7 linked regions of the Cricetulus griseus genome follow. The protein of the gene in region 4 purifies or fractionates together with the protein of the main gene of each other region. This does not show direct contact. Links are inferred from orthologs where the notes say so. Each region holds a gene or a part of one and is shown on either strand. Other genes may lie near its edges. The genes, in order: Thoc5, Thoc7, Thoc6, Ncbp3, Ddx39b, Thoc1 and Thoc2.

What was found.
Region 1: the proteins of Ncbp3 (region 4) and Thoc5 purify together in Homo sapiens (co-immunoprecipitation; 3 studies listed by BioGRID and IntAct, with this or other methods). This does not show direct contact. The link is inferred for Cricetulus griseus from reciprocal best matches to the Homo sapiens genes NCBP3 and THOC5.
Region 2: the proteins of Ncbp3 (region 4) and Thoc7 purify together in Homo sapiens (co-immunoprecipitation; 3 studies listed by BioGRID and IntAct, with this or other methods). This does not show direct contact. The link is inferred for Cricetulus griseus from reciprocal best matches to the Homo sapiens genes NCBP3 and THOC7.
Region 3: the proteins of Ncbp3 (region 4) and Thoc6 purify together in Homo sapiens (co-immunoprecipitation; 3 studies listed by BioGRID and IntAct, with this or other methods). This does not show direct contact. The link is inferred for Cricetulus griseus from reciprocal best matches to the Homo sapiens genes NCBP3 and THOC6.
Region 5: the proteins of Ncbp3 (region 4) and Ddx39b purify together in Homo sapiens (co-immunoprecipitation; 4 studies listed by BioGRID and IntAct, with this or other methods). This does not show direct contact. The link is inferred for Cricetulus griseus from reciprocal best matches to the Homo sapiens genes NCBP3 and DDX39B.
Region 6: the proteins of Ncbp3 (region 4) and Thoc1 purify together in Homo sapiens (co-immunoprecipitation; 4 studies listed by BioGRID and IntAct, with this or other methods). This does not show direct contact. The link is inferred for Cricetulus griseus from reciprocal best matches to the Homo sapiens genes NCBP3 and THOC1.
Region 7: the proteins of Ncbp3 (region 4) and Thoc2 purify together in Homo sapiens (co-immunoprecipitation; 3 studies listed by BioGRID and IntAct, with this or other methods). This does not show direct contact. The link is inferred for Cricetulus griseus from reciprocal best matches to the Homo sapiens genes NCBP3 and THOC2.

Annotation. Positions count from the first base shown.
Region 1 is NW_023276807.1:99,973,201-99,975,659, reverse strand, and holds part of Thoc5 (THO complex subunit 5 homolog), read left to right. Parts: intron 1-79; coding exon 80-195; intron 196-1,460; coding exon 1,461-1,651; intron 1,652-2,459. UniProt on the Homo sapiens protein: Component of the THO subcomplex of the TREX complex which is thought to couple mRNA transcription, processing and nuclear export, and which specifically associates with spliced mRNA and not with unspliced pre-mRNA.
Region 2 is NW_023276807.1:171,880,540-171,884,830, reverse strand, and holds the start of Thoc7 (THO complex subunit 7 homolog), read left to right. Parts: upstream 1-1,491; 5' UTR 1,492-1,603; coding exon 1,604-1,622; intron 1,623-1,772; exon of another isoform or gene 1,773-1,941; intron 1,942-4,291. UniProt on the Homo sapiens protein: Component of the THO subcomplex of the TREX complex which is thought to couple mRNA transcription, processing and nuclear export, and which specifically associates with spliced mRNA and not with unspliced pre-mRNA.
Region 3 is NC_048600.1:43,199,643-43,203,748, reverse strand, and holds the start of Thoc6 (THO complex subunit 6 homolog), read left to right. Parts: upstream 1-1,306; 5' UTR 1,307-1,406; coding exon 1,407-1,445; intron 1,446-4,010; coding exon 4,011-4,106. Other genes in the region: Hcfc1r1 (host cell factor C1 regulator 1), read right to left, coding at 1-127, 339-467, 915-1,000. UniProt on the Homo sapiens protein: Component of the THO subcomplex of the TREX complex which is thought to couple mRNA transcription, processing and nuclear export, and which specifically associates with spliced mRNA and not with unspliced pre-mRNA.
Region 4 is NC_048600.1:86,818,150-86,822,143, forward strand, and holds the start of Ncbp3 (nuclear cap-binding protein subunit 3), read left to right. Parts: upstream 1-1,194; 5' UTR 1,195-1,234; coding exon 1,235-1,420; intron 1,421-3,428; coding exon 3,429-3,494; intron 3,495-3,994. UniProt on the Homo sapiens protein: Associates with NCBP1/CBP80 to form an alternative cap-binding complex (CBC) which plays a key role in mRNA export. NCBP3 serves as adapter protein linking the capped RNAs (m7GpppG-capped RNA) to NCBP1/CBP80.
Region 5 is NW_023276806.1:231,776,165-231,779,664, reverse strand, and holds part of Ddx39b (spliceosome RNA helicase DDX39B), read right to left. Parts: intron 2,584-3,500; coding exon 2,452-2,583; intron 1,052-2,451; coding exon 942-1,051; intron 853-941; coding exon 708-852; intron 589-707; coding exon 441-588; intron 1-440. UniProt on the Homo sapiens protein: Involved in nuclear export of spliced and unspliced mRNA. Component of the TREX complex which is thought to couple mRNA transcription, processing and nuclear export, and specifically associates with spliced mRNA and not with unspliced pre-mRNA.
Region 6 is NC_048595.1:236,160,915-236,164,414, reverse strand, and holds the end of Thoc1 (THO complex subunit 1), read left to right. Parts: intron 1-1,576; coding exon 1,577-1,724; intron 1,725-2,313; coding exon 2,314-2,389; intron 2,390-3,025; coding exon 3,026-3,321; 3' UTR 3,322-3,432; downstream 3,433-3,500. UniProt on the Homo sapiens protein: Component of the THO subcomplex of the TREX complex which is thought to couple mRNA transcription, processing and nuclear export, and which specifically associates with spliced mRNA and not with unspliced pre-mRNA.
Region 7 is NC_048604.1:26,148,732-26,152,231, reverse strand, and holds part of Thoc2 (THO complex subunit 2), read right to left. Parts: intron 2,374-3,500; coding exon 2,098-2,373; intron 1,182-2,097; coding exon 1,040-1,181; intron 610-1,039; coding exon 452-609; intron 1-451. UniProt on the Homo sapiens protein: Component of the THO subcomplex of the TREX complex which is thought to couple mRNA transcription, processing and nuclear export, and which specifically associates with spliced mRNA and not with unspliced pre-mRNA.

The sequences.
Region 1 (2,459 bases), on a different chromosome or scaffold from region 4:
GTGTTGGCTTTGGTATGGTGTGGAGACCATCGTGGGAAGCTGGGTGATCACTGATTTTCTCCCTTTCCTCTGTTCCCAGCTAAACTTCAGGCTGCTGTGGTATTGAACCCGGGCTACTCCTCCATCCCACCCATTTTCCGACTCTGTCTAAACTGGAAAGGGGAGAAAACCAACAGCAATGATGACAATATTCGGGTAAGACCCACATGTGTGTCAGGAGGAACAGGGAGAACCCCTAGAAAGGTGGGCAGTGGCCACGCCTGCAGCTGCTGAGGCCATGTGCTTCAGTCCCAGAATAGGAGCTTACAGGATTTATAGAATGTGCTCACCCCTTAATTTCCCTGAGGCCCACAGCTTTTCCCACTCATCAAATAGCATTGTTAACTGGGTGCAGCATCCTTGCACTCCAGGGACTTAGAACTCACTAAGGGAGATGAGGGAGAAAAGACAGGCACACAGAAAGCTCAGAAAGCTGGAATCCAGTGCTCTGGTCTCTCAGCTGGAGAAATCTTAGTCCACCCCCAAGCCCAGCATGTTTATTACATAGAGTTGAACATGGAAGCGGGGTCATGGTACACAGATGGACCAAGAAGGCAAGGTTAGCTAATCCCAGTAGGAGCAGGCTCCAGGCCGTAAATATGCAGGGGGTATAAAATTATGGTTGATCAACATTCCCATTTGGATCAGAAGGGAAGGCTTTCCCATTCCTTTTAGCCTTATGTGGGGGAGGGGAAGGCTTTGCCATACCTGCGTGGATGTGAGGTTAGGGTCCCAGCTCATGATGACAACACATATTCACTCAGGACTTTATACATACTCATTCTGGATTTCATACACTCAGGGTTTCCTCTGTTCCCTACAGCAAGGCATGGTACTGCACACCTTTAATCCCAGCATTGGGGAGGCAGAAGCAGACAGATCTCTGTGAATTCAAAGCCAGCCTGGTCTGCATAGTAAGTTCCAGGCCATCCAAGACTACACAGTGAAACCCTGCCTCCAAAGAAAACAAAAAGTTTTCTTAAAATCTTGTCACCTGGGGCTTCTGTGAGATGGTAAATAAACTCTGGAAACATTACAGAAACACTCAGATTCAATGACAGTGAGTGTGCTGAGACTGTTGTTTAAGGCATTGCCTCTTGACAGGATTTGGTAGCCTATGGCCATAGATCAAGTTTTTAAAGCCTAGTGCCTTCTGACTTGGGACTTAAGATTTATCCTCTACAAACCTGTAACCCTTGCTGTAGGCATTTAGGGGAAATCCTTATAATCAGGGGTCTCTGGACAAAGCTGTGGCACGACTCTGTGTGTGTGTATGTGTGTGTGTATGTGCACTCAGGGGCCAAGTGTAAGGCTTGTGGTGTTCTCAGGTACAGCAATGAGGTAAAAGCCTGGCCAGTGTGGTAAAAGCCCATCCATACTTAGGAAGGAAATGCTGATGTGCTGGCTTCCCACCCATACAGGCTATGGAGAGTGAGGTCAACGTGTGCTATAAGGAACTGTGTGGCCCTCGGCCCAGCCACCAACTCTTGACCAACCAGCTGCAGAGGCTGTGTGTGCTGCTGGATGTCTACCTGGAGACGGAGAGCCATGATGACAGTGTAGAGGGCCCCAAGGAATTTCCCCAGGAGAAGATGTGCCTGCGGCTTTTTAGGTGAGTAGAGGGCTGGGCTTTTGTGACTCCTCATGAGGACATGGACAAAGATCAGAGTCCTCCAAAGACTAGGTCTCATTGGAAGGGCCTGAAACAGAGGGCGCCTGTTTCCATTCATGGCAGAAAATTGTGCTGCCATATTGCCAAGAAGAACGTGTTTTCTCCTTCCTGAGACTTACCTGCAGCTGGCTCACCTGTTCTTGGTCACCCCCTGGAGAAGGCCATCCAACTAAGGAAATTGCACCAGACCATGCTAAAAAGCTTTGGCTAAACTTGAGTGTTTTCTGTGGAAACAGCAGGGCCTGTTTACTTTTGATACCCAAGTGAACACTTAGGGTGGTACACCCCACAGTCCTAGTGAGCTTGCTGGCATCTTTGAGTGTTCTTTCCTCAGTGAGAAAAGACAGAGGGCATCCAGGCAGCATAGAAAAAAAACAAAACAAAACAGAGCTTCTAGAAGGCCAGCAGGTGAGCACCCTAAAGACAGAGTAGTCCATTCTGCCTAGCACCAAGCCCTTGGTCCTAGGCCTGAAGAGGAGGAGAAAGACCTTCTATGGGGTTCAGGGTGACTCAGATAATTTTTGTGACGTTTCTAGATGATTCCTGCTCCAAGTTAGGGTCTCAGAGTGTGTTAGCAGGCCTTGGCAACTTGTTGTGTAGAGTGTCTGGGCTTGCAGTACCTCAGGGTAGTTTTCCATTTTCTTGGGTGTTGAGGTTTTCTTTCCTGTTTGTTCCCTAATGTGGTTTATTTATTCTTTTTTTTTTTATTTATTTAAAAACTCTAGAGATGACTGTTAGATCTCCCTTC
Region 2 (4,291 bases), on a different chromosome or scaffold from region 4:
AGAAATGCTTTTTAAAAGCATCCTCTCACTACCTGACAGCTTTCCATTAAACAAGAAATCTCCCTACCAAAGTGTTGGGGCACCTATGCAGCCCTAGCAGGCCAAAAACTCCATAATTAGACCCAGACTGTTGTCAACTCACAGACCTGCCAGCCCAGATGGGATTAAAGGCATGACTACCACTGCCCTGCTGAATTTAATATTACTATTATCCTTCCTCTTACTTCAAGGAAATGAACAGGTTCAAAGTCCAAGTTATGAAAGCCTTTAGCCAATACTCTTTCAAAGAGTCAGGGACTGCAGCTTCAGTATTTAGAAGAGGTCAGTTATGCCTGAAAATCTTCATTCAAGATTAATTTCTGTCTCTGTGACAAAAGTCCGTAATGTACTTGACATATAATCCTGCCAAGCAGCAAAAACCACTTCACTAACATACATTGAATGGTTCCAAGTTTTCTGCTAAAGAACTGAGGGAATTCTGGGCAGATGCATAGACCCCACTTCAGAAAAGTAGTCTGAACCACCAAACTGACCCCCCACACAATTGCTTTATGCAGGATCTGAGGATGCAAGGGACTTGGGAATCACGAAAACTGGAAAACAACAAAAACCTGGGTTCCAAAGTCGAGCACGCTTCTGGGTGTAAAGCTGTCCTGCTGGATGTCAAATCAACCTTACCAGGGGTTGTCTCTCACCACTTACATGGTTCCATTCAGGAGACACTCATCATAGTGATTTTTCTGGAAAGATGACAATATAATCTGCAGAGTGCTCCAGCAATATGTACTCTACACCCCAAGCAACGTTTTTCAATGAGCAGCGCCACCTCCCCCAACACCTTCTACTTTCAACTTCCCTTTAAGAAGCATTTTTTTTTTTTTTTTTTTTTGAAAAGCAGAGATAATACGAAAACGAAGGCACCCCATCTGGATTCTGGCACCGAGGGAGAACTGGGTGAGGGGCAAGGACGGCAGGGACTAAGCTCCTGGTTCTGAGCAAAGTACTCCCAAAGGTCGCCAAGTTTCTATCCCCCACTTTGCCAGCACCTGCCAGAGCTCAGGAAGGGAGGATGGCTTTCCGCGTCCGCCTCAAGGACCCGGGTTCGAGACCCGCCGGGGCGCGCGTGGGCGCCAACTTGGCGACAGTCGCCGCGGCCCCATGCCAACGAGCTAGTGGAACCCGGCGGCCGGGGGGCGGCGGTCACCCGGAGCGGCAGGCGCGGAGCCCCCCGAGCGCGCGCAGCCCGGAGCTCACCTGGCGGCTGGCCGCGGCCTCCAGGGCGGCCTGTGGCGCGGGCCGGGCGGGGACGACGGGGTGCGCGGGCCGAGCCGCCGCCGGCCGCCCGCCTCGCCCTTCACCCGCCGGCCGCTCCGCGCCCCGGGAGAGCAGCGAGCGCGGGCTGCGCGGGTCGCGCGGCGGCGGCGGCGGCGGCGCGGCGCAACTCAGGAGTCGGAGAGGCGGCCGCGGGCGCCGCCGCCTCCTCCTCCATGACTGTTTACCCGGCTGCATTGTGGGAGTTTGACCTCCGTCGCCAACCGCCGCCTCAGCTCGCGCGCCGCCGCCGCCGCCGCCGCCGCCGCCGCCGCCGCCGCGCGCGCACGCCATGGGAGCCGTGACTGACGGTGAGGCCGCCGCGGGGTGCGGGGACGCGGGGCAGCGCCGAGATCCGGGCCGTCCGGGGTGGGGGCTCCCGGGGCGGCCGGGAGCGACGGAGGGCCGGGCGCCGAGCCCGGGGAGCCCGAGTGATGCAGTGCGCCGAGGGGGCCGCCTGGGGGGCTTCCCAGGCCGGGCTGGGTCGGGCCCACAGGCCGTGCGGCGGGCCCCCGGGGGCCCTGGAGTTCGAAGTGAGGTGGATTGCGGGCACCGAGCTGGGGACAGCCTCCAAAAGGAATAGGGGTGTCCGGAAGGCCGGTCGGGAAGTGTATCTGGGCGACTTACAAGGTAAAGCGCCCCGTGGGATGAAGCCGGCGGCTTAGACCGCGACCACTGAAGGAGGGCATGTTGGGGAGGGTGGTTTGTAGGCCTGGATGAATTGAGGGTGATGGATTGTGGACAGCTGTGGTCTGTGGACTGAGAGCAGAAATAAGGGGGCATTTCAGGGAGGTATGGACAGATGCGGCGGGAAGCTGGAACAAGAACTTAACATCGGTACCTGCTTTTGGTAGAAAGGTTTCTGTGGCTTGGAGCTATTCTTGAGAGGGTGACCAGTAGCTATGGGTACCAGTGGACTGACATCCAGAGAATGGGAAGAACAACTCAAGACCCAAATTTGAGGACTGTTGGAGGAAAAGTCTAGGTAGGGATAAATAGAGGAATTTTAATCTTATTTTATTCCAGTTTCGTTTATTCAGTAGGTATTTTCCGTACTTCCAGGCAATGCTTTACTTATATTTTGCAACCCAGAACAGGCAAAGAAGTTTGCTCTTGTATGTTTGCAGTTTGGATTGACTGTAAACGTTAAATAATTGGGGTAGGGTAGGGGTGAAGGTATGGTGTGTGTGTGTGTGTGTGTGTGTGTGTGTGTGTGTGTGTGTGTGTCTGTGTGTGTGTGTGTGTGTGTGTGTCTGTGTCTGTGTCTGTGTGTGTGTGTCTGCCTGCTGCCCTCCCTGCCTCACCTGTTCCCCAGGCAGGCCACCCTTCCCATGTGGCAGTTAGGGGACAATTTGCTGAAGTCACTTCTTTCCTTGTGGGTCCTGGGGATTGAACTGAGGTTGTTGTTGATCTGTCTCTACTGGTGATTAGAAAACTTGAAAAGACTTCCTTCTCACCCCCATTCCTTTGAAGGATGAATGGATATATTAGGACTGGAATTACAAATGACCAGTCATTTATACAAGTCCCAAAATGCTGAAAGAAATTAAATATGTCATGTAGTAATTAGCTAGAACTTAGAAAAAGTTAAGCACCATGAATTTTTAAGGTCAGGGGAAGCCACTGGAAATTTTGTTTGTTTGATTTTTAATTTGGTTTAGTTTGGGATTTGGATTCTTTTGAAATGAGGTCTTCCTAAATGTATCCTAGGCTGCCCTGTAACTTACTATGTAGATCAGGCTGTCCTGGAACTCACAGAGATCCCCACCAGCTTCTGATTCTGCCTCCTAAGTGCTGGGACCAAAGGTACTCCATGTCATATCAAGACAAGTTTTAAACATTAGTGCAATGTTTAGTGCAACATTAGTGATCAGATCTGCTTATATTTAATTACTTGAAGTGTTTTTTTTTTTTTTTTTTCAATGCTGAGGACAGAACCCATGCTCCTATTCATAAGAAAAGTGTTACATCCTCATCCTGATCTACGTGATTTAAAGTGCACATACCCATTCTACTGTGTGGAGAATATTAAGGAAATTGGAAGGGAGGTGCTGAAATCACTTTCCCCTTCAATAACATAGTACTTGTAGCATGTGTGGTGCAATGTTCTAATTATCCCCATTTTATACATAAAACTGATAACCTAAGAAACTTGTCCAGAGTTGTAGTGGTAGTAAGTTCCAGAACCTGGGCTTAAAAACCAAGCCACATCCTGTGTGTGTGTTTTGTCTGCACGTGTGCTTGTGTACCACATGTGTCTGGTGCCTGTGGAGTCCAGAAGAGTGCTGGGAATTGAACCCATACCTCTGTAAGAACAGCCAGTGCTGTTAACTGCTGAGGCATCTCTCTGACTGGCTAATATGCACTGAGCTCAACTCCTGCTGCAGTAGTGCTAGTGAAAGGTAATTGGGCCAGCACTCCAACTAAGGGGATTCAGTAAGTGAACTGGTCAGATGTGCTGGGATGTCAAAAGATGATCTTATGTTTCTTATTTGTGTGGATCTGTGCCTTGCTCCAGAGGAGTGATGAATTTTTCAGGTGAGAGAAGGGAAGGAATGGTGAGTTACAAACTTACCAACTGCAGCCCCCTAATCCTTAGAAGCCATAGGAATCCCCAGTTGACAACTACCAGCTTCTGACCTTGTGGAGGTTACCTAGCTTCTTTGAGGCTCAGTTTTGCTCTCTGTTAATTAAGCTACTAATAAAATCTACCCTGGAGTGCTGTTTTGGAAGTAAAGGACATTGTACTGAATCACACACATGCTAATGTTCAGTGAATCTTTCTAAATACAGAGTACCCTTCCCTGTCTTGTTATGAGGGAAGGAAATTGAACTGAAGTAAGAACTAAGTAATCAACAAATGTGAGATGCTAGCTAGGTACAGAAGGAAATTAGAGGGAGAGGGTGCTGGAAGGGGAGCATACATGCCTCTGTGTTAGTTGGATTAAACTAAGACCCTTTTGTATGCTATGCAAGCACT
Region 3 (4,106 bases), about 44 Mb from region 4:
CATGATATCCCCAGCTGGGGATGCAGGGTAGTAGGGACTGGGAGTATCCCCCAGCCTCAGCAGTCTGAGGGCCTCAGGGATCAGGCTCCCGGGATAGCGCCAGAGAAGCAGCTCTGGGCAAGGGCTCCTGAAAGAAGAAGAGAGACAGTGAAAGTATGGGGCAGAGGCTGGCCTGGCAGAGCCACCTCCTACCAGGTCCAGATCCCCTGGAGCCAAAGATGGAAAACAGCACAGAAGTTGGCTAGAAGCTAAAAATAGCATGATGAGGCAGATCATGAGGAGGGGCTCTGAGGACCGAATGTGATTCTCTAGAAGGCCCTGCGAGGGGAGGTGCCTACCTGAGTGGTGGCAGGGCTTGGGGAAAAGTCACAGGGGGACTGCAGTAGGGGTGGTCATTATGTAGGCTGAGTCGGGAGAAGTGGGTGGCCATGTTCTCCTCAGACAGAAACTGCTTGTGCAAGGGTTCCCTGGGGGAAAGACCAGAGAGGAACAGAGGGTGGAGGCAAACTGATGAGGACCAAAGGTGACATCTAAGGAGACCCATCTGCCCCCAAACTTAATGCTCCTCCAGGGGTTTCCGTGCTCATGGGCACAGCTCCTAGGAGAGGGGAGCTGGGAAATAGAGCCAGGTGTAGCCCACCCTCTCTCTTTACCTGAGCTTGCAGAATAAGCCAGGATTCCAGAATCAGTCTTGTCTGTGTGGCCTAAGCCACTTTACTCTCTCAGGCCATCATCCACCAGGCTACCTCGGAAATCCTGACCGTGGCTTCCCAGTTCCAACACAAGCTCAAACACCACGGTTTCCTGTACCACCTTGCCTCTCTTCCCAGGATCACCCTACTGACCGGCCCTGGGCCCCCAGCCAAAGCTCTTGCCCTCCGTTAGTCCGGCCCACGCAGGGGCCGCTTACGCACCTAGCGTCCAGGCCGCGAGTCACCCCAGTGGTGGCCCGTGGATCACGATTTGGAGGGCCTCGCTCCAGGGGCTGTTGTAGGATCATTACGGTCCGGGGTCCTGCAGATAGAGGGGTGGGATCCAGGCGGCAGAGGCGGAGCCTTTGAGGGCGTGGTACAACGCGAGGGGCGGGGCTACCGGCGTGCTCACTGGAGACGTTCGACGCAGGCGCGGAAGGCGAGCACCGCGAGGTTAGAAGGCGGGACAGGTCGGCGGGGTGGGGGAGGGGATTCGGTGTAGCTGGGCAGTCCTGGACGCTACTTAGCGTAAGGGTGCTTCGCAGAGTTCCCCTAGGTTTCAGTGGTTCGAGACAGCACCGACCTGCCGCCTTAGTTGTTGAACGGCCGACAGTGCCAGGTCCTGGGGCGCAACGAGAAGAACCACTCTCACGCACGTAGGGAGTCGAGAGGTTGTGTCGCGCCTAGAGCCCTCTGGGACTTGTAGTTCTGAAGATGGATCACGTCGCACCGTCGCCGGTGCCTCTGGGTCAGGTGAGTCGAGTGTGCGCACAGTGCCTTCTGGGGTTTGTAGTCTTGCCATGACCTGGTGGCCAAGAAATACTCGGACTCTGACTCTGACCCCCCCAGAATAGTGATCCCCGGTCCTTGGGATCTAATAGTGACATAGGGACTAAATGTCAGTACATTTTACTGTGAAGGATAATAAAGCCACTTTAAAAAAAACTAGCCGTTGGACGTAGTTCCACACACCTGTAATGCCAGCACTGGGAAGGCAGAGGCAGACATATCTCTGTGAGTTAGAAACTAGCCTGCTGCATAGTGAATTCCAGGTCATCCAGGGATACATAGTGAGACCCCAACTTAAAAAAAAAAAAGTTTAATCATTGTACATGAGCCTTTTTTAAAACCCTGGGCCTTAGACGCAGTAAGAACATGCTCTGTCATTTAATTATACCCCAGCCCAAGAACTGCTTGTTGTTTGTGAGACAGTGTCATATATCTCCAGCTTTCTTTGAACTTTGTTATATAATGGAGAATGACCTTGAACTTCTGCCTCCCTCTGAATGTTATGGGCTATTGGGTGTGCCATAATGCCCAATATATACAGTGCTGGTGCGCAAACACAGAACTTTGGGTTAGAATAGGTTTTAGCGGTTGGAAAGATGGAAGAGGACCCAAGTTTGGTTCCCAGCACTCAAATTTCAAATCTTGTAATTGCCTGTAACTCCAGCTCCAGGGGATCTGCATCCTTTTGCCTGTGTGGACACCTGCACTCACTTGCACACACTCCCCTCACACACATATACACATAATTAAAAGCAATAAAAATAGAATCTTTATTTTTTTTTTCCAGACAGGGTTTCTCTGTGGCTTTGGAGGTTGTCCTGGAACTAGCTCTTATAGACCAGGCTGGTCTTGAACTCACAGAGATCTGCCTTGCCTCTGCCTCCCGAGTGCTGGGACCAAAGGCTTGCGACACCGCTGGCCGGCTAAAAATAGAATCTTTAAAAAAAAAAAAAAAAAAAAAAAGAGAGCATAGGCTTGTTGGTGGTGGAACATGCCTTTAATCCCAGCACTCGGAAGGCAGAGGCAGGTGGATCTCTATGAGTTTGAGGCCAGCTTGGTCTACGGAGATAGTTTGTGGATAGCCAGGGATTACACAGAGAAACCTTGTCCCCCCACAAAAACAAAAAACAAACAAACAAAAGAACATGGTCTACCCATTGAGTAGTTACCTTTTTTTTTTTTTTAAACAAGTTTTCAGGAAGTACAGCAGGCTGGCCTGGACCTCATAGAGATCTGCCTGCCTCTTCCTCAAGTGTTGGGATTAAAGGTGTGCCTCCACGATAGGCTCATTTATTTTCTTGTAAGATTTATTCATTGTTTTATGTCTATAAATGTTTTCCTAGCAGTTGTATGTGTGCTATGTATGTTTATCATATCCTCGGAGGCCAGAAGAGGCATCACAGGGGGCTGGAGAGATGACCCAGTGGTTAAAAGTGCTTGCTACTCTTCTGGAGGTACCAAGTTCAGTTTCCAGCATCCATATAGGAGTGGGTTTACAGATGCCTGTAATCCAGTTTCAGGAGACCCAACAAGCTCTTTTAGTCTTCATGGGCACTGGTATACACAGCACACACACACACAAATTGAAAAAAACAAAACAAGACCTAATGACTCAGTGCCTTTAACGTCAGCACTTGCAAGGCAGAGGTAGGCAGATCTCTATGATGCCAGCCTGATCTACATAGAGAGTTCTGGTACAAAGAGGGCTTCTTGTGAGAACCTGTCTGGAGGGACTGGGGGAAGTGACGTCAGCTCTCCTGGAACTGGAGTTACAGATGGTTGTGATCTGGCATGTGGGTCTGTAGGATTCTCTGCAAGAGTAGTGCACACTTACCTGCTGAGCCATCTTTCCAGGCACACCCCCCTATTTTAAAAATAGATTTATTATTTTTATTCACTTAGTTTTTTGAGACAGAGTCAACATATTTCAAGCTGGTCTGGAGTTTGCCTTGGAGTGGGGGAATGTCCTCCTGCCTGCAACTCCTGAGTGCTGAAATCACAGGCCACAAGTGTGTGCTTGTTTAATGCAGTGTGCAGTGCTGGGGACTGGTGCATGCTAATCAAACACTATCAGTTCAGTTACATCCTCAGATGTGTGTATGTGTGCGTATTTGAGACTGTCTCGTGTAGCCCAGGCTACCCTTGAATTCACTATGTAGCTGAGGATAATCTTGAATTTCCTCTGATCTTCCTGCTTCCAACTGTTAAGTGCTGGAATTACAGTTGTGCACCTACTAAACCTGGCTACAAAGCTCTTACTGTTCATTAGTTACCTAATTATGACCAGCGTTTCCTGGGAGTGCCATCTGTCTACTAAGCTGACAGGAGAGGCTTGGTGCTTGTTCTAAGTGTTAGGTACTGTGCCCCTGTTCTCCTTTTCTCACTCTCTTCCTGGAGCCACTCTTGTATGGGGAGATGCCTGTGGCTGTGGCTGAGCAGGGCTGAAGTCTGGGCAGGGTAGACAAACAGGAGTCTGCAGGAGGAGGACCCAGACCTCCCAGAATCTCCTCATCCACCCTCTTCCCACAGGCTGAGGTAGCGCAGGCCCTGCAGCGCCTGCACATGACCATCTTTTCCCAGAGTGTCTCGCCCTGCGGGAAGTTTCTGGCAGCTGGCAACAATTAC
Region 4 (3,994 bases):
TAGACTAGGAGAGAGGTCTAGAGAGGACCCAGACTTAGCTAAAGGTGAAACAGGAGGAGACAAAATCAGCACTCATGACAAGTCAAGAAGCCCTTCCTCTTTCCCAGCCAGACTCCTCCTAGAAACGTTTGTGAAGTCTTTGATCGGTAGAGCCCCCAGACGTGAGAAAACGGGGTCTAAAGTCTGTCTCTGTCCTTTGGGGTAGATCACTACTACCTTGGAGCTCTCTCCCCCTTTAAGATAGGGTCTTCTGTAGTTTAGGCTGGCCTCAAGCTAGCTATGTATTGGAGGGTAACATTGAATTCCTAATCATCCTGCTTCTATCTCCCAAGTGTTGAGAATACAATGGTGTACTACCATGTCTCACCTTGGAGCCCTGGATGGCCTGGAACTCACTACCTAGACTAGCATGGCCTGGAAATCATAGAGGTGCACCTGCCCCTGACTCCTGAGTGCCGGGATTAATGCATATAACCCTATGCTGGGCCCCAGCTTAAATTTTTGACTACATAAAATGGCTCAGTTACTGGAAGACTTGTCAGAGGCAAGGTTTCTAAACGTTCAGATTGCCAAGAGATGATAGATTCTATGTAGTTCATTCTGGGCTCTGAAGCCCGATTGTCGAGGCTCAGATCCAGGTAATCATTTAAATAGCCTATACCTGAGGAAAACTATGCCCCAGTTTTCTCCTACGTGGAATGAAGGTAATAAAATCTTATTCGTAAAGTTGTAAGAGTTCAAGTCTTGGAAGTATTGGGCGCATGGTCACTCAGTAGTTCTTAAGAGTATAGTCCCCTCCGGTCCTTGGTGGTGCACGCCTTTAATCCCAGCACTCAGGAGGCAGAGGCAGGTAGATTTCTGTGAGTTCGAGACCACCCTGGTCTCCAGCGCAAGTGCCAGGACAGGCTCCAAAGCTACACAGAGAAACTGTCTCGAAAAACCAAAAAAAGAAAAAAAAGAAGAGTATACTCCTCAAAATGCAGGTATTTTGGAACCTCAGACGACGCCCCGCCTCCGTCTCGGTTTGGTCCTGCCCACTCCTCGCGAAATCCCAACCCAAACCTGCCCCAGGTTCCCGGGCAATCAACGGGGGCGCCAGAGATAAGGACAGCTTTTTGGTAGAAACGGGAGACGCTCTGGCTGCCGGCGGCTCTCCTCTGTGGTTGGCGGCCGCGGCGCTCTAGGAGGCGGGTTGTGAGGGGCGGGCTTTCTGTGGTGCAGCCGGCTGGCAACTATGGCGGCCGTTCGCGGCCTGCGAGTGTCTGTGAAGGCAGAGGCCCCGGCTGGGCCCCCGGCTTTGGGGCTTCCGTCGCCCGAGGTGGACTCCGGCTTGGAGCGTGGCGAGCCGGAGCCCATGGAAGTGGAGGAAGGCGAGCTGGAAATCGTGCCGGTGCGGCGCTCGCTGAAGGAACTGCTCCCGGTACGGGCGAGGGGCGGGGGTTGAGGAGGAGGTCGCCGAGCGAGTGTCCCTTGGAGGCGGGGAGGTGGCGGACCGCGGCGCTGGCGCAAGTCCGAGAACCCGGAGAGGGGCGCGAGCGCCGAAGGGCGGGGGCCGCACTTGACCCGGAGAGAGCCGGAGCGAGAGAAGGGACACCCGGGCGCCCGGAAATGGGTGCAGAGAGCGCTGGAGGAGGCGGAGGGCTGCCAGAGAGTTGGGGGACACCCCTGTCGCTGCCCCGCGGTGTCGGCCGGTGCCCCGGAGCGATGAGCTGTGTTCGGCTGGAGATAAAAGGGAGCCGCGGGCGGGAACAGAACCTGGAACAGCTCTGAAAGGAAGTGTTAGGTGGCGCTGGCATCCAGGTCTCCTGCTGGGTCCTGCCCCAGCGGAGTTAGTTGTCTGTTAAACATGACAGTCGCTCTTCGCTTGAGAGGGCCAGACCTGTCAAGCAGCAGACACTCGTGTGGTGGTGTTGTGGGTGAGGGTCCCCATGTCCCCGCGCACCTTCACTGCACCTACTCGCAGGTCCCGGCTTCTGACGCCCGGTGACATTTCATCTACATTTTACCACAGTGGGTATGAGGAGGACTGTTTTGCTTGTGGTTTGGTAGTCGTATGCCCTGTTTTAAAAGCTAGTCTGGGGCCTGGATAGCTCGATTTTCACACACAACATGCCCCCACCCCCACTTAATTCCACGATAGCAAGTCTTGCTTTTACATTTGACATTATGAGTAAAGGGTTATACAAATGGCAATGACTTTTGTAACAACACAATGACAACTTTAGTATTTTTCACATTATGTCATTAGATTTTACTGTATTTGTGACTTAGGTGTTACCCATTCATTCAGTTTAAGTATCGCACCCCCCCACTACGTGCTAGACATAATCCTAGGTGTTTGATTAAAATCAAACTCCCTCTTGGAGTTTTCCCTAGTAGGGGACACAAATTAAACAAATAGTTTCCTTTTGTGTTAAGTACTATGAAGAAAACACACCCCTTTAATAGAAAGTACAGAGGCCGGGAAGGGTGTGAAGCAGTCAGTGTCTGTCAGGGTGTGTAGAGAAGTCCCCTGAGATAGATTTAACCATAACCCTACATGACAAGAAGGGGCAACCGTGTCAGTTGGAAGGGAGCATTTTCTAGCAGGAATGGCAGCAAGCACAGTGTCTCTGAGATGGAAACAAGATTGTTTTGTTGGGGTACATTAAGCTCAAAGGGGAGAGCAGAAGTCAGACAGATAGACAGCATAGAAGAAAGCAAGGCTCGGATGTCCAGGGTATTGAATGCAGAGCTGAGACTTCAGCCCTCACTCTATCCGTTTCCCCTCCTTTTTTCGTTGTATTGGGATGTATTTTTCTCAGATCTAGGACTTCGTGCATTTTTGTGGAGGTATTTGCTCCATCTAGTGGCCTTTCATGGGGAATTTGTCCAGTCTGGGTTGGGGAACAACTAAGTGACTATCTCATTTTTTTTTTTTTTAATTAAGCTATACATTTTTCCCCACTCCCCTTCCCTCCCCACCTCTCCCCTTCCACCCTTGCACCTGCTCTCCAAGCTCCCAATTTACTCAGGAGAGCTTGTCTTTTTCTCCTTCCTAGGTGGACCCATGCATATCTCTCTTAGGGTCCTCTTTGTTACCCAGGTTCTCTGGGGTTGTGGCCTGTAGGCTGGCTGATTGTCCTTTGCTTTGACTATCTCATTTTTGACATTTTCCATAAATGCCTTTAGAGTTTCCTTTCTGTAGATACTTTCAGTTGACAGAATTACTCAATATTTTGAACAGTTCCTGTCTGGGGTCTGGAAAAGACTTCCTGTTAGAATTGTTGATTGCTAATGCAGAGTTTCAGAGATGGACTTCCTAATAACACAGGTGTTAGGGTGGAGAAGGGCTGCTGAAAAGAATGACTTCAAAAAGAGCCAGATATCAGGCTGCCTTTAACTGTGGATTTTTCTCCCAGAATTTCCCATCTTTCCTCTTCTGTTAGGACACAAGCAGAAGATATGAGAACAAAGCTGGCAGCTTCATCACTGGGATTGATGTCACCTCCAAGGTAAGACAGACTGGGGTTATTTATTCAATTTGATAAGCAGGCAAAATTAATACTTGGTCCTTAGGACTTAGAGGATAGTAAATATTCTTTGCCTCCTTTTTTATTTTGTTGCATATATAGTATATTATCAAATATCTATATTCATCTATCTACCCAAGGATGCCCTTGAATATCCTGAAGACATCAAAGCAGCATTTGTGTATATCCATGAAAAGATTATCACTATACTTAGATGACTGTACTTAACCCCTTTCAAGAAAAATGCTTATTTTAGTATTTATTATTACATATGATGTTTGTGTGTCTGTGTGTAAGAGTGTGTCCATGATATAGCACACATGTGGAAGTTAGAGAACAGCCACAGGTGTTGGTTCTCACCTTCCATCTTTTTTTATAATTAATGCTATTTTTAGATTTATGTATATGAGTGATTTGCCTGCATATATGTAAGTGCACCACATGCAGACCTAGTTCCTGAGGAGGTCAGGAGAAGGCTTCAG
Region 5 (3,500 bases), on a different chromosome or scaffold from region 4:
TAAGACAAAAGAGGAGAAATTTAAATTTCTCTCCCTCCCTCCCTTTCTCTCCCCACAGCTGTGTCCTAGGTTCAGAGGATACTCTTGGGAGTAGGAACACTCCCTGTTGCTGGAGAAAAGAGACGGATAAAGACCCCACACAAGCGTCCCTCACCAGAGCATGGAAACTCCAGGAGGGCAGCCAGCAACCAAGGGCCATTCAGCACCAGAGGCCTCTACCCAGAGGTTTACATGAGGCACTAACAAGGAAAGAGGGAGCAGGATTCAACAAGATGCTTCAGAGGGCAAAGGTGCTGTCACTAAAACTGACAACCTGAGTTCACGCCGGGAAACCCACAGGGTGGAGGACAGACACCCAATAGTGTCCTCTGATCTCTACATGCTGTGGTATGTACACACACGCACGTACGCAGCAGGCAGCATGGTGGGGGTGCACTCACTGTAGGAGGAGATGTCGATCTCATCGGGGAGCTCACTGATGTTGACCTCAAAGCGGTCCTGCACGTCATTGAGGATCTTAGCATCATTCTCATCTGACACAAATGTGATGGCCAAGCCCTTGGTGCCAAACCGGCCTGCTCTGGCCACCTGGGAGGAGACAAAGGGAAGATCACAAGTTCACAGGGGAGACAGAGATACAAGGGAAGGGGACAGCGTGTGCATGAGCGCAGGCACACAGAGGAAGAGGGGGAGGGCGGGCAGCTTACCCGGTGCAGGTAGGTGTCTGAGTCCTCTGGCATGTCATAGTTGAAGGCGATGTTCACACGCTCAATGTCCATGCCTCGACCAAACAGGTTGGTGGCCACAAGAATCCTCCGCTGGAAATCCTTGAACTGCTGATACCGAGAGAGCCTTTGTGAGGAAGGAGAGGAGAAGCTTGAGATTCCCTTCTCACCACACCCCTTCCTCCCCAGAGCACAAATCCCTTGTTTCTCACTCACCTCTCCTCCTGGGGCATGCCGCGGTGGATAGCAATGGCGGGGAAGTTCTGCTCCACCAGAAGCTGGGCCAGGGCGATGCACCGCTGCACGGACTTCACAAAGATCACCACCTGCGGAGCACGGGAGTGATGAACATACAAGTTTCCACAGTCATCTCAACTCTTAATGGTTTTTAAAGTTTGTGTGTGTGGGTGATTTGCACGCATGTAAGTGTAGGCACATTCATGCCTGACGCCTATGCAGAGCCAAACGAGGACACTGGACCCTCCTCACATACCAACTGCAGTCACATGATTAGGAACTGACATGCTATGGAGAATTGGGGAGCCCTGAAGAACAAGAGTGCTCTTAACCTCTGAGTCACTGTTTTGTTTTTTGAGACAGGGTTTCTCTGTGTAAACCTGGCTGTCCAGGAACTTGATCTGTACATGAGCTGGCCTTGAACTCACAAAGTTCTGACTGCTTCTGCCTCCAGAGTGCTGGGATTAAAGGCTTGAGCCATCCTCACAGGGCTCTGAGCCACTCCTTCAGCCCAGCCCCAGTGGTATCACTACTGATAAATCTATATATATGTATGTTTGTGTGAATGTATGCAGGTGTATACAGGTGTCCTTCAAGGCCAGAAGGGTGTGCTGTATTTGTATCTGTATCTTTATCTGCTGGGGCCAATTACAGGCATCGGTGGGAGGGAGGGGGTGTGGATCCTCTGAAGAGCAGGGCGTTTGAGGTCCAGTTGTCTTCAAACACATTATATAAACGATGCTGACCCCACACTTGATCTCAGAGATCCACCTGGCTCTGACTACACAGAGTCAGCTTGGGATTTAAGACTCCCATACTAGCACACCTGGTGAATTTTTGTTTGGTTGGTTCTTTGGTTTCTCTGTGTAGCCCTGACGGTCCTAGAGCTCACTCTGTAGACCAGATTGGCCTTGAACTCAAGAGGCTTGCCTGCCTCTGCCTCCAAGAGCTGAGATTAAAGGTGGGTAGCACCACTAACCCGCCCTGGCAGAATTTCTAACGAGTTTCTCAGGCCCTTTTTCTGTCTCAAATGTCTCTTCACAAATGTCCTCTTCCTCTCTTGAACTTAAGGCGTGTGCCTAGGCCAAGATTTCTCAACAGCCTGACGTGTGAGCTGCCACAGACACAAGACCTCAAACTGGCACACACACGGGTGAGGCGCCCTCAGGAAGATGGTAGGATGTGAACTACAGTCTAGAAAACCAGATGAGCCTCTGGAAACACTAAGAGCCCCACAGGGCTCTGCAGCCAGCTGAGCACAGGCTGACACTGCTCCTCCTGGGTGACTGTAAAAGACAACAGCAGAGCCACCACGTCAGTACCCAGCTCAATGCGTTCCTCCACTCACTCAAGTCATCACGGACTCTACCTCAGCTGTCTCTCACACCTTCACACCCTTGGCTCCTCAATCACAGGCTACTTCTCCACAGGCTTCTGCCACGGCTGGGGATGCCCAGTGCTCAAGACCACACAGACCCTCAATACTGACCTGGTTGAACTCGAGGACATCGAGAAGGTCAAAGAGCTTCCGGTTCTTCTCGTTGTCCTTCAGTTTCACGTAGTATTGCTGCAACCCGTGCAGCGTCAACTTGGTCTCATCATCCACGAAGATCTCCATAGGCTGAGGGAAGGAGGGGTGGGGGCAGGAGGAGGGCAGAGTGGGGGGTTAAACCTGGGGGGGTGGAGGGTGATGGTCTCCAATACACCCCATGGACTGATGGGGAGGAGAGAGAAGACTGAAAAGCCCTCCCCATCACAAGAACGCTCTGTACTGAGGTCCCTTTCCAGTTAGGTATGGCAGTATCTGCAGCAGCTGAATTTTAAGCTCAACTGAGAATGGTCAGAGGAGAAAGGAACTCTGCACAGAGTGGTGAAGCTCCCAGCTGCAAGGTGCCAGTGTCAGAGCTGATGGGGGAACGTTAGCAATGGAGATGGTACTCCAGGGGAGAGTTAGCTATGGAGATGGTACTCCAGGGGAGAGTTAGCTATGGAGATGGTACTCCAGGGGAGAGTTAGCTATGGAGATGGTACTCCAGGGGAGAGTGAGCAATGGAGATGGTACTCCAGGGGACAGCATAGTCAGAACACACAGCAGAGGCAGCAGTGAACCGGCCTGGGCATCGACACCACAACAGGCCAGGGCTGACTGCCCCACTCAACTGTCCTCTCTGCACTTCAGCAAATGTCCAAGACCAGAAGGCTGCAATGGACACAGCCAAAAACGCCATTCAAAACCTGGGCCTTAGTGGCATGCTGTGATCCCAGCTCTCGGGTGGTTGAGGTAGAAGTTATTAAAGAGAAGCACACATTGCTCAAGCTGTGAGACACCTTGTACTCAACACACTACTCAGCTTTAGAAGGGATTTTTCTAAATTCAGAGTCAAACCGTCTATACTTGGGAGGTGAGGGATGAACACACTGTGCTGGCCAACAGAAGTACAGGCTCTTTCCCACACCCACAACAGAACCTGCACCTTCTGAGCTCTAACTCCTGACCGACCCTCAGCACCTTCCATTTCTCTGGAGCCCTCACCCCTG
Region 6 (3,500 bases), on a different chromosome or scaffold from region 4:
GTTTGCCTTTTGCTTTGCTGTCCCCTCCACCCTAGATTTCTGGGGTAACTTTTAAGACTCACCATCTTTTATCTAAAGAGTTTCATGTGACAGTATTTTTAGGTAGGTGTTTTGGAGTTGTGATTTAAAGGCAGGGGCTCTCGTCAGAATGTGTAAGTTCCCATCCTTGTGCCTTTTCTCATTTGCTAAATAATAGCCACTCATTTCACAGAGTTATTCTGAAGATTAAATGGTTCGTTTTGATCCATATACAGCATGTTGCTGACACATGATATAAATGACTAGTTTTGACCCCATGATACGTTTTTACATGCTCCAACCTCTTAACCAGTGTGTTCTATTCTCCATGCACCAGAGAGTGATCTTTTGAATATATACAGGGAAGAAAAATGTATCAGAGATTAAGGGTGCTGGCTGTTCTTTCCAGAGTCTGAAATGACATCTTCTGGCCGCCTTTGGCATACACAGATAATCATGCAGGCAAAACACCCATATACATAATAAAAGTCTAAAGTATACAAGAAATTATGTTGGGCATGGTTATACACACCTTTCATCCCAGCACTCAGACACAGAGGCACGTGGATTCTGAGTTTGAGGCCACAAGTCTACATGGTAAGACCTTGCCTAATAATAAATACATACATACAGACAGACAGACACAAAGGGCAGGCAAGGTAGTAGCACACACACAGAAAGAGTGGACATGGGAGCACATACTTATAATCCCAGCACTCTGGAGGCTAAAGCAGGAGGATTAAGTTTGAGGTTAGTGTGGCTTATAGAGTAAGATCCTATTAGTAAAATACGCACAAGTCTCATCTCGTGCTTAAAATGAAGAGTGTATATCAGAGTTAATAAGAGGCCACCAAATAAACCAGATTGCAGATCTGTGCTAAATACAAAGAACATAACAAAGCCCAAGATAGAATCCGTTTATTGGGGGCGGGAGTCCTTAGGATTTCTCATAGGTTCTTTTTCCTCACCTTCTGATTCTTTTCTTGACATCAGTGTGTCACTACTGTGGGTACTGGATATTTGCTCTTTTGACATTTTGAGCCATTTTTAATCATTGACATTGAAATTAAGTGAACTAAAGATTAGCTGTTACATAAACACAACTCTAAATACAGGTCCCTTATTGAAAATACTTGCGGCTGTGTTTTCAGATTTTCCCCCCCATATTTGGAACATTTTAGACCCTAGCAGGTAAGCATTTTAAGAAAAGTTAAACACTTAAGGTTTTAGGTTAGAGATCTCCAACTTGTATTAGTTACATTAACATGATAAACTCGAATTTATGAAATACTCTAAACTCACATATCTGTAGGTAGCAATGCAGATACAGATACCAACCAACTCACCAAATATCATTTTTCCTATCTTTCCTTTTCTTCTGTATAACTGGATGAATAGTTTCTATGTAGCCAGGGGTTGAGACATAGACCACTGACTTGCTAAAATAAGCAAAATATATAAACTTTCAAACTAAAGGATGGTACAAAATGTCATGTGACATGGAAACAACTATGGAAGTGGATAATTATAAATCCAAGGCTAACAACTCCTCTTACAGAGCTGTGAACAATTCAAATTATGGGTGGAGAGCTCTCAGGCTCTTAGCACGAAGAAGCCCTCACTTCTTCCAGCCAACCAACCAGCAATTTAAGAGTCTGCCAGAGTACCTGGAGAACATGGTAATAAAGCTAGCCAAGGAACTACCAGTAAGTGACATACTTCATTTTTCCCATTTCCTTTAGTAGACATTATCTGCTTTAAAACTGCTATCAGTATTTGAGCAGAACTCAAATTTTAGTGTATCACACAACAGTAGTAGTGGGGGCGGGGGAGGACACACACAACTTGAGGCAGAGGTTGTTGTTGAACATTCACTTAGGGAGAAAATGTGAACCAAGAGTGGTATAATTTTCTGTGCAACACCCAATTTATCAACATGTTGGAAAAAGCTACTGCCTGCAGTAAATTGGATCAGTTTTTGCTCTTACCAAATGTATTTTACTATATTTTGTCAAGAGCAGGGTCTAGGAGTAGCAGTAGGGTACCTGGCAGTGTTTTCTTATAGTACGGTAACCATAGACATGGTTAATCTCTATTGCCCCTTAGACAATACTGACTAAAGCCTAGGTGTTTACCAACCTGCTTGTTCATGCTTCTCTGTCTTCCTTCTGCCCAAAATGACAGGACCTACAGGTTGAGAGGGTCTGAGGTCCATTAATTACCTATCTAAACTATTTCCTGTTATCTTCAGAAACTAGTGTTTTTTTAAACACCATTGTTTCTCATTTACTATAGCCTCCTTCTGAAGAAATAAAAACAGGTGAAGATGAAGATGAGGAAGATAATGATGCTTTACTGAAGGAAAATGAAAGTAAGAATTGAATTTTTGAATTGAAATTGAATTTTTTGGCTATTTCACAAAACTGAAAAAGATTAGGGTTCTTTGTTGAGAGGTACATTGTATAATTTGGTCTACTTCTCAACTTCTACCATTTTATCTCAGTTTACAGTGAGATTAAAGCCATTAGTCACTTAAAATACATTTTATATAGGGAAATTTGGAAATAATTTTAAAGATAAAAAAGATGGGTGTTTTAAGGCAGAGCCTTGAACTCTGCTAATTTAATTGGGGCTAGAAGGAACATCTCTATGGGAAAATCTTCCTAATTAATATAGCTTTGAGCTGGGCGTTGGTGGTGCACGCCTTTAATCCCAGTACTCGGAAGGCAGAGGCAGGCGGATCTCTGTGAGTTCCAGGCCAGCCTGGTCTTCAGAGCGAGTGCCAGGATAGGCTCCAAAGCTACACAGAGAAAAACCCTGTCTCGAAAAACCAAAAAATAAAAAATAATTGCCTGAATTGTGATTTTTTTTTTTCCTAAGAAGGTATGTAACCTATGTAGAATTAAGTTTTAAAGTAAAGCTTAATGTGACTAGTAACCCAGTTTTTTGTTGTTGTTCTTTAAGCTTTGCAGGTCTTTCAGATAATTTATATCCTCTTGTCTTCTAGGCCCTGATGTTCGGCGAGATAAACCTGTAACAGGGGAACAGATAGAGTTATTTGCCAACAAACTTGGTGAGCAATGGAAGATTTTGGCTCCGTACTTAGAAATTAAAGACTCTGAAATTAGGCAGATTGAGTGTGACAGTGAAGACGTGAAGATGAGGGCCAAGCAGCTCCTTGTTGCCTGGCAAGATCAAGAAGGAGCTCATGCAACAACAGATAACCTGATCAGCGCACTAAACAAGTCTGGATTAAGTGACCTTGCTGAAAGCCTAACTAATGACTCCGAGACAAATAGTTAGCTTGCTTTCTTTTCTTTCTTTTTTATTAAACTGTGATAAGATTTTGTTACCAAGCGGCATTTGATAAGAGGTCCAGTGGTTTTGGTAAACAATAAACAGTTTTATAACAGCTGTTGCACAGTTGGTTAGTGCTTCAAGAACTACAAAACAGGCACTGTCTAAACCTTAGTTTGGAGTAT
Region 7 (3,500 bases), on a different chromosome or scaffold from region 4:
TTAATCCCAGCACCCAGGAGGCAGAGGCAGGCGGATCTCAGTGAGTTCGAGGTCAGCCTGGTCTCCAGAGCGAGTGCCAGGATAGGCTCCAAAGCTATACAGAGAAACCCTGTCTCAAAAAACCAAAAAAAAAACAAAAAAACAAAAAAACAAAAAAACAAAAAAAAAGAAACCCCCCCCAAAAAACAAGATCATGCTATTCCACCTGGGCGTGGTTACACATGTCTTAAATCCCAACAGTCAGGAGGGGGAGGCAGAGGCAGGTGGATCTTTGTGAGTTCGAGGCTAGCCTGCTCGATAAGATGAGTTCCAGGGTAGCCAGAACTATTATTACACAGATAAACCCTGTTTCAAAAAAAAAGGATCATGGTTGTCCACATTTGAAGTTTATAATAAATATTTAGCTGTCTTTGTCTAAGATTTGTTTTTAAAGGTTGCAACAAGAACTTACTCGGTCATAGCAAAGAAGTGTGGAAAAATTTGGAGTTTTCTGTTGATGTACCAATTCAACAAAACGAGCACAGTAAACAGCATCTATTGCTGAAAAAATGCATCGAGGAAATATACACAGCTGTAGAAATTTTGTGATGGTCTCATTTTTGGTTGACTCTAAAAATAAAAGAGGAACATATTAAGCAGTAATCGTTTTCCCCAAGTGCCTCAAGGATACCAAACACAACATTTTAACTGTAGTGTACAGAATGCTATAAAACCACAAACTATGGGATAAAGATTCATATCACTTTTACTCTATCAATACTTTTCTATCTACAATTTCTAATAAATATGATTCTATATAGAAAATTTGAATACTAAGTTGCCAATATTATCATAAGCTAATTTTATTTCAATAGCCAACTAAACCATCAGTCACTTTGGTGAATACATGAAGTTGATTCCGCTGTAATGAATAACTAAAGAAGGGAACAGTGAACTGAGCTGAATATCAATCAATGTAATCACTTGAACACCTCCAAAGTTAGAAATGTTTGCTTTTGCAATTTAGCAGCAGCAGGAATGTACAATCCCAACAACTTACTTGCTAAAAGCCAGTTGTCTTTTTCCAATTTCAGTCTCTGAAGAACTCTCTGAACATGTTCCATCTGTTTCTTTTCTTCTTCTAGAAGCTTGTCCTGAAGGGCTGTGCAACGCTCCTTCTCTTTTTTCTTTTTATTTGGGGGCTACAAAGTAAAGTCACATACTTTTTAACTATCTACATTGCCTCCCTTCATGTAATTAAGATTTTTTTTAAAGAGAAAAATGATTACACTTTATAATTATCTCAGCATGACTATAAAGTAGGTATTCCTGAATACTTTTCCTTCCATTCAACACATTCAATCAGTGTCACCTAGTCTTCAGACACCTTCTGAACAGGTCACCTAGGTAACAGTGGTGGTATCATTCTGAGGCAAAAATGAAGTCATCTTTCACTTTCCTTCACTCAAATATTCCACTTGTTTACAAGTCATATGTATTGACACTGTCTCTAACATAGCCTACATTCTCAGTACCACATAGCCAATTACCCCAAAAGATACACAGCCTTAGACTAGATCCTCCGCTTATCAAAATCACTCTTCAGATTGCTCTTATAATCTTTCTAAAGTACCATTTTTACATGTTATTCCCCAGCTGAAGTATCTAAACAAGCCCTCAATTGTATCATATTTACTATTCTGCCTGACTTTCAGTCCCTGCCTAATTTGTTACTAACCTCATTGTTCAAGTACATGATCAAGGCCATTCAGTAGAATAAAGGAGATCTCCTTAAACCCCATACTACTCCCTGTGTTTGCTGGATTATTTATAATCCTTTGGGAACTCCTACTGCTCTTGAAATAAGCGTCAAACTAATCACCTTAGGTTGCTATGACAGTGTTCAGTAGAAAAGACATGAATGTTTTTATCATACTTTCCATCCATTTGCTAAGATCCTGCCAAATCCATTGACACGTTGCCATTAAATCCACTTAAAATAATATACAGCAACAAAACTGTAGAATCAAGAATCTTGAACTAAAATAATTACAAAGCAGGGACAATACTACATAAAAGTCACAATTATTATACTTGTGTTGCTACAATAAAACTTACCATTTCCTGATTGTCATCAATCGCTTTCATCTGGACTTTAAGTTTATTAACTTCTCTTTCATAGCTGGTATGTGGAACTGCAAGGTCATACATTGTCAGTGACCAAAAGGTAGCATAGAACTGAGGGCTGATATCATCCCAGACTTTGGAAACGTGTAAGGAGACCACTGCTTCGTGGACAGGAGCCATCACCATCTCACATGACGTAATGTATTTATGGACTTTATGTTGCTGTTTACTTCCCTTTTCCGATTTTTTAAGTTCATCATATTTTGACTGGAGATAAAAAGTTAAAACATATCATATATACTTATACAAAACTGTAATGATAATTCTAGTTTCTTACCAAGAGCACTTATTCTAAGACAAATTATCTCTGCAATCCGTTCCAATCCTTAGTTTCCATGTTTTTAACTAGAAGGTTTTTTTTTTTCAATAAAATTTGACTCCAATAGGGCATGTATCAAGAAGCTGGAATGCCACTAAGAAAGGTTATAAAAAGTTACTGAGACTACTACCTCAGTGACCAAATGTCCAGTTTTGCCAGAGACTTAGGGGATTCCCAGAATGCAAGACTTCAATGCTGAAACTGACAACATTCCAGACAGAGCGACCAGCTACTTTAGTCTACTGCCAAGCCAAATAAAATTTTCCATAAGTACCTGTGGTAAATTAAATTGAAATCATGTAAGAACTGATGCTACAGTTTTGTTTTGTTTTGTTTTTGTCCTGACTGGCGTGTCCTAATTAAGGAGAGAATCAGAGGAAGGCTATATTCTTAATGACATGAGGTAAAGATGAATCTATTAGTGCAGTGATATTGACATAATTTTTAGTTCATAGAATATATGTCAAATGCAGCTAAGAAAGTTAATATACTACCTCATGCCTTTCAGCCATTTTATGATGAAAGACCTCTTGCCAAGAAAATTTTACTTGGTTTAGGCATCATGCTTAAGGTGAATCAAAAATTCCCACAACCAGTTGTTTCTTTATAGTAGAAAAATACTGAAATCATTCAGTTCATGATAAACATATGACCCCAAACCAGATGATCATCTATAAAGGTTCGGCTTCAGTTCTGCACTGACAGGAATAATCTCAGCTGGACTAAAAGCATGTTAAGACCATTACATTCATTGGCATGCAAAGCAGAATCCAGGAATCTTGTAATTTTTCTAGAAGTAGGATTATTTATTTCTTTGTATTCCCATGCTAGAGAATATGCTATTAACAACAGAACTGATAAAGCTACAAAAACATTAGCTGTAGGAAAGTATACAAGGTATAATATCAGAGACCAAGACCAGTACTAGGGTAAAAAGGATTTTAAATTTAGAAAATAGATTTTGCTGAAGGTAACTAATATGAATTTAGATGAGCAGAACGACATCTGCTAACGT